Linked DNA regions of Coturnix japonica. The protein of the gene in region 1 interacts with the protein of each later gene in a pairwise test. Links are inferred from orthologs where the notes say so. Each region holds a gene or a part of one and is shown on either strand. Other genes may lie near its edges.

Region 1 (3,750 bases):
AAAGGAAGCAGGTTGGACTTGATGTGTGTCCTGGAACAAGTGGTGCTGTAGGGCTGAAGAATTGTGTGTCTGTCTGTAAATGATGTATTTAAAACTCCTAACGTTATTTTGAATGTAAGTCCAGAAAATATATTATCAAAGCTTAATTTACAAAGCTTATTTTGTAAAGTTATTTGCTGTTCTTGGTAAGTTTCTGGATTTCTTTTTATCTTGTGGATCTTTTACAAAATGAAAGTGTTTTGTTTAGGAAATATAAAGCTACGAGCTTATTTTTTAACTTTCTTAAGCCAGTGGGTCCTAACCTGTGGGAGCTGTGAGCTACAGCCATTTGACTGACTATTTCCTGCACTTTAATCTCTGGTATCAAGTGTGTTTCTCTCCTTTTCCAGCTGTGGGAATGGTCATGAAAGTTGTGCCTTGGACACGTCTCATAGCTGTGTGCCAGAGGCAGTAACCAGGCCTGAGCGTATGGCTCCAGATGTTACGAGTGCACTTAACGTTTGTTTTTTATTCTTTATTTATACTAATGGTATTTCACGTTTACCTCAAGCATTTTAAATGTCAGTTATTGTTTGTCAATTATTTAGATATAAAACAACTTCAGATAATGAAATAAAACATACTCAACTATTGCTGATTGTTACCCAGATGCCTGAAAATGCTCATTTTCTCTACATCCCCCGCCTCTATTTGCCTGTGTTGTGCTGCCCCTCGCCGTGTTTCTGAGGGTCTCTGAAATGTGTGCAGGTACTCGTTGCAGTCGTACAAGGATGACGTTTCCCGTTCACACAGGTATAAAGAGCACAATGTTGGCGGAATGCTTTTCCTCCCATCAGCACTGTTTAAATCTTGACACTAAGTGCTCTGTTGTTCTTTTCCAAGTGTTTAAATAGAAAAGTAGGTTATCTTCCAACTGAGAAAATGTGAAAAGGGACCAGCTTTACAGCTGTAAACGAGACATGGTGCTCTGAAGTGTAGCTTAAATCAGAACTGATGACGCAGCATCCTGCAGCGTGTTGTTTCTCAGCAGTCGGCCACAGACCTTGTGACCAGCAGGAGGAATAGGCCAGGATCTGGGCAAAGAGTCACTGCATCCACCAGCGTATTTTGGTGGTGTGGATGGTTTTTATTTGCTGCTGCTTGTTGTGTTTTAAGTAACAGTGGGTGGGAGGAGGCCTGAAGCAAAGCCTGCCTGCACAGTGAAGCAAACAGGGGCAGTTCTGGGGGACAAGTGAGGCTGACCACAAGACGATGTACAGCAGCACAGACATGGGACTCAAATAGGCAAGTATCCCAGATCATGTTCTTATCTTGCATCTTTTGTCCTTTAGCATCCAGTTATTCGTTTTGGCTGTCAGCAAACATCTTTTGGGCCTCTGCTAAAACACCATCAGGATCAGCCAGTTCAATCTAAATAAAAAGAACAGAAATCAATTATGCAATGTAATTAAAGAGGCTTAAAGTTTATAGATATTGATTAACGTTAACAGAGCATCTCCCACGCAGCAAGACTGTAGTTTATCCCACAGCCTTTCAGTTACTAATTCAGAAACATCACTGCACTTCCCAAATTTCATTACAGGGTTGAACATCCATTTGTCTCCTTGCAGCAGCTGAAAGTGGAGCACCGCAGTGATTCTTCTTTAACAAAAGCACGTTCCTGAGCAAAACTGGCTTTGGTCTGCAGCCTGTTGGATCTCACCTGTGGTTTCAGACAGTGAGTAATAAGCAGCCATTACACTCAGCATCAGTAAGTTATGTGACAGCAGGAGTCCTTGCTGTCAAATGGGGTGGGTGCAGGTAATGCACAGGGAAGCACAACAGCAGCTGCTCCGAGGCCACTCAGTTGTCCTTCCCCTCACTACAGTTAGGGCCCTCTCAAACACATCCTCCTGTTGCTCATTATCCTTGCACGCCCTGAAAGGGAAGATGCTGAGTTTTCCCTCACAGCTGCTACTGACGGTAATTTGACAAACGGTTCATGAAAACCTGCAGTCAATTTTTCTCCTTTTATGTTTCTTCATTCCTATTCTGAGATCAATAAATCTCTCCCAGCTGAAAGCACAATAACGGCAGTGAGAGCTGATGCTTTCTTTTGGTTCATAAAACAAGGAAAATTAGGTCATAATTTGGTCTCCAAGGGAGTTAATTGAGCTGCTGGGCTCGAACATCCTGCTTTAGCAGCTACAAAACTCATCCTGTGCCCTGGGCTGAGCTGCCAAAGAGGCAGCTCTGTTGGGTGACCTCTAACAAACCATGTGAGGTAAAGATTTTTAGTTACAGAAGCTGCTCTTTTTGCAACATTAGGGCTGTTTTTCTCTGGTGAGTGTTTGGTTTTTATTATTCTGTGCTGCTGTGATATTTGTTGGAGAACCTTACAATGCAAAGCTCTGCATTGTTTGGCTGCTCTCTATGGAATGGGATGCTGCTGACCAAAAGAGCTCGAGCACAGACCCTGAGTGACTACCTGAAGAGAAAGCATGGTCCAGAGAGGTACTGTGAGCTCTTATAAGCACTATTGGTGTAAACATGGTTAGCAAAAGCAGCATTTCCAAGCAGTTACCTTTGGGATTGGATACCGAGTAGGGGCAGGAGCTGCATCTCTGCTGAAGTCAATCATAGTCCCGCACTTCGGTACATCTGTCACCCAGATGCCTTCAAACAGTTGCCCCTTATCCAAGTAGTAGAATTTGCCTGGGCCGTGTTTCTTTCCATCCTTCCAACCTCCTTCGTACCTATTGTTACTTGCTGCAATCAAATACATGAACAGGCTGTGAAATGTGCATGTGTTCATCAAGAGGTTGGACACAAAGCTGGGGCTGTAGCCTGCACAGGAAGGAACACTCTGGTGTTCCCATGCATTGCTCACATCTGCTGCCCCAGCAGAGGACCCCAGGGCTGCATTGCTTATGGCTGCATTGCTTATGGCTGCATTGCTTATGGCTGCATTGCTTATGGCTGCATTGCTTATGGCTGCATTGCTTATCGCTGCTCTGAGCTGTGCTGGTGAAGCAGCACCTTGCTCCTGACTGCTCCCCCTGCCAGGCACGTGGCCAGGGTGAGCGATTTAATCTGAGCTGTGGCTCGTTGTGACCTCCTCTGGAGAGCTCCTTTTTCTTTTACCATTGCAATGCTGCCAGCACAGGGCACGCTTCCAGCGGCCGAGCTGAATGTGTTCGGCTTATGGGTATGAAATAATCGCTCTGGCTAATTTTAACCAGAAGGAATCCAGCTCGGTGGGGTCCCGGGCTCTGCCTGGGGCAGGCGGGCTCTTGGGCAGTACAACAGCAGTTGCTAAACCCAGAGAGTGTCTGATTTGTAACAGGGAGAGTGGCTTGGATGGGAACAGAATGGGGCAGCTGAATGAGCCGACCCTGAACGCATGCGTTGGTGTCATTGCTATGAGCCATTGATCCAAAATGGGTTTACAGCCAGCAGAGAAAGCGTAGATGTGTACGCAATGTGCAGGGGGGTCACGCTCGTTCCTCCTGGCTGCTTTGCTTAGCAAGTGATTTGCCTGGAGATTGCCCCCCAGAAAATAAAGAGATTAATAATGGGAATGATGATGACCTGCAGTGATGGCGTTTCTTCCAGTGTTCTGGAATGTGCTGTTCCATACTGCAGAGGGCTGGGATTCTTGGCTTTGGGGAAAAAAACACTGAGCTGCTAGCAAAATAACAGGGAAAAAGATCCAGATTTCTATTTTATGGTGGGATTGCCCCCAGCAGCTCCAATCTGTGATGCACTCGA
Region 2 (3,750 bases), on another chromosome or scaffold:
ATTTGCTGCAGTCAGCCGCACTTTGAAAATAACCAATATTCATCATATTGTGATGCTACAGAGAGTGACTTCAAACATCACTGAAAGAACAAAACAAACCTGTTGTCCTTAAACCATTCTCCAGCATAGGTGTCTCCATTTGGGTAGGTATATTCTCCATACCCATGTTTCTGATCATCTACCCAGCTTCCTTTAAAAAGAACATATCAATAACACAGTGAGAAGCAGTATATTTAGTCATGTGATATAGCAGTCAGTTTGTAAAATTGTCATACATTAATTCAACTGAGTGGAGAATACACCTCATTAGAGAAGGAAAAGAAAACTATGACACCATTATGACTGACTGCTAAAACAAATCCTGTTCTTTCCCACTGAACACAAAAAAACTAATGTAAATGGGAAACATTTGTTGATTAAAATCTAAGCATATCTGATTTGCATATCAGTATTTAAGTATGTCAATGTTAATATCAAAACAGATTAAATCAAAGAGGCACTGATACTCTGTGGCAAAGAAAAGGATGATTTATTATACATCTGACAAATGGATGAGAATTTTGATGGATGAGATGAGATGAGATCATTAGACACAACAGGGTAGATAGCAGCTCCATATGCAAGACTATCCAGTAACTTTCCACCTTCCGACCTGAGTATAAGTGTAGGAACAATTCAACGTTAGAGGCAAAGACAATACTAATGTTTTCACTTGGGATGGTTTTCTTCCCCTATTGAGATACTATCTTCTTTGCTCTTTGTTATCAAGGAAAGGCTTCCCCATACACAGAGTTTCCAAGTTCTGTTATCTGTCTTTGCCAACTCTGCCTTCTTGTTCCCTGCTCATTTACTTCCACTGCCTTCATTATGCTTTTTTGCCTCTTAAGCAATAGCTATAAAATCAGTACAAAGAAGACGATATGAAAACAGAGGCCCATGGTATTTGTCATCTCAACTATATTAATCCTGGCTTAAGACATATCCTGTTAATTCCCATCTCTAGGTGTCACAACAGACTCATTAGCAGGGTCTGTTGTGATGAGATGAGGGTAAATGCTTTCAAACTAAAACCAGAGAGATTTAGGCTGTATATAAGGAAGACATTTTTTGCAATGAGGATGATGAAGCACTGGAACAGTTTGCCTAGAGAGGTGCTGGATGTCTCATCCCTGGACACATTCAGGGTTAGGTTGGATGGGGCTCTGAGAACCTGATGTAGCTGTAGGTGTCCCTTTTCATTGCAGGGGAGTTGGACTACATGACCTTTAAGGGATCCTTCCAACTCAAATAATTGTATGAGTCTATACTGAACACAGCAATTCTAATCATCATACATATGATTAGATACGAGCAATTATACCCTCTTCTATCAAGATTGCACCAGATTAGACATGATGCTTGGCATTTCTCAGGACGTGTAATGCCTCACTTGAAATAAGGACATGTCTAGAATAAATTGCTACTAAATACCACACTTATCAGAGTATTTCAAGTAAATCCCCATGAATAAATAAATAAATAAATAAATAAATAAATCTGCTCTTGGAGCTCATAGTAAAAAAGGAATAACGGGAAAATGTTTTATAGCAAATGTATCTTTTTAAAATAATCTCCACTTTGCTGTCTTCTTGTATTCCAGGAGCTGGAGAAACACGTCTTTTCAATTACAGAAATCTGTGCAACCATGTTCAGTGCTTTTACCTTCATATTTTGATCCATCTGGATAATAAAATGTACCTTGGCCATGCTTTTTATTTTGAAGATATTCTCCAATGTAGCAAACACCAGATTTAAATCTGTAGGTCCCCTAAAAGATATTTGATATAGGTAAAAGACTTGTCAGTTCTCACTCATTTCAGTATAGTGCAGAGACTCACAGAACTGCAGAAACACAACCACACAGCCACTGTCTGGTTACTGTCTCACCTGCCCATTTCTGAGATTGTGCTCGTATTCACCCTCATACTTATCACCATTGGGCAGCACTGCTTTCCCATGTCCGTGCCGTTCACCTTCATTATTGCGGTCACCATCATACTCCTAATCAAATGCAATTAGAAAAATTGTTTAAGAGCAATAGACCTGCTTGAAATCAACCTAATTAGAGGAAGCCACGTTTTCTCAAAGGTGCTCCAGCTGTGCTCCAAGCAGAGCATGCAGAAGAGCCTGGCCAGCGTGTGCTGCTTCTCCGCAGGCTCTCCCTTCAGATCCCAGCACACAGGGCCCTTCTTTCCTTCTTGACTCATTGCTGGGAAGCATGGATGACCTGTGAAGAAAATAGGTCCCAGCCAAAATAGCTCAGCCCTCCCTCTGGTGTAGCACCCTGAGATCTCCCCACGGGGCCTACGGTATCAAAGCCCCCACAAGCAGTAGCTTCTCTCTTCCGTTCCCCGCCCTGCCCCGAGGCCCCGCTCCCTGCCGAACCCCCAGGTAAGGCTCGGCCTCCTCCTCGCCCTCCTCGTCGCTCTGTTCCGACATGCTGCTGCCTCCGCGTCTCAGCCGTCGTGATGGCAACCGGGCACGCGCGTTGCGTTACCGTTATGGCCGGCGGGGGCGCGCCTGCTGTCCCGGGTGCTGAGGGCACCTCGATGAGGAGACAGCGCCGCGTTAATACAGAGTTAGATGGGTTAGAAGGGAGCTCACAGCCCACCCACCCCACCCCCAGCCGTGGGCAGGGCTGCCCCCCTCCAGCTCAGGCTGCCCAGGGCCCATCCAACCTGGCCTTGAGTGCCTGCAGGGATGGGGCACCACAGCTTCTATGGGCAGCTGTGCCAGCGCCTCACTGCCCTCTCAGTGAAAGATTTCCCCCTAGTATCTAATCTAAATCTCCCCGTCTAAATTTAAAGACACTCTCCCTTGTCCCATCGCTGTCAACCAATAAAAAGTCACTCCCTCTCCTGCTTAAATGTTCCCTCCAAGTGCTGGGACCCTGCAATGAAGTCCCCCTGGAGCTCTCTCTTCTCCAGGCTGCTCAAGCCCAGTTCCTCCAGCCTCTCTCCACAGGAGAGGTGCTCCAGCCCTCTGAACATCTTTGTGCCCTCCTCTGGTCCCTCTCCAACAGCTCCCATCCTTCTTGTGCTGGTGATCCCAGGTCTGGACACAGTACTCCAGATGGGGCCTGGTGAGGGCAGAGCAGAGGGGGACAATCCCTCTCCCTGCTGGACACCCCTCTTCTGATGCAGCCCAGGATACCATTGGGCTTCCAGGTTGTAAGAACATGCTACTGGCTCATGTCATGTTTTTCATTCACCAGGACTCCTAAGTCCCTCTCAGCAGGGCTGATCTCAAGGAATTATTGTCCCAATCTGAACACATATCGTGCACTGCCCTGACCCAGCTTCAACACCTTGCACTTGGCCTCGTTGAACCTTATTAGGTTCACATAGGCCCACTTTTTGAGTTTATCAAGGTCCCTCTGGATGGCACCCCTTCCTTCTATTGTACCAAATGCACCACTCAGTTTGGTGTTGTCCACAAACTAGCTGAAGGTACACTCAATCCCGCTGTCTATGTCATTAATAAAGATATTAAAGAATACTGGTCCTGGGATGTACATCTGGTGGACACAACTCATTACCAGCTCCACTTGGGCATTTCATTGTGTTTCAAATGTGAGCTGCAGCATGCTAGATCAATCATTCTTATAAAATTAATTTATTTACTTCAGTGCAAAGCAATTCTTTGTTATTCTTTAGGAAAATACTCTAGAAACCTTCCCTAGCTAAGGAAGTTATTAGTCACTAAAGGAGC

The links.
Region 2: the proteins of MORN3 (region 1) and RSPH1 interact in binary tests that used the Homo sapiens proteins (3 or more experiments, as listed by UniProt). The two-hybrid records come from large-scale screens. The link is inferred for Coturnix japonica from reciprocal best matches to the Homo sapiens genes MORN3 and RSPH1.

The regions. Positions count from the first base shown.
Region 1 is NC_029530.1:4,805,271-4,809,020, forward strand, and holds the end of MORN3 (MORN repeat-containing protein 3), read right to left. Parts: intron 2,749-3,750; coding exon 2,564-2,748; intron 1,411-2,563; coding exon 1,339-1,410; 3' UTR 494-1,338; downstream 1-493. UniProt on the Homo sapiens protein: Assembles a suppression complex (suppresome) by tethering SIRT1 and MDM2 to regulate composite modifications of p53/TP53.
Region 2 is NC_029516.1:98,604,658-98,608,407, forward strand, and holds the start of RSPH1 (radial spoke head 1 homolog), read right to left. Parts: upstream 2,552-3,750; 5' UTR 2,479-2,551; coding exon 2,425-2,478; intron 2,041-2,424; coding exon 1,927-2,040; intron 1,808-1,926; coding exon 1,702-1,807; intron 191-1,701; coding exon 100-190; intron 1-99.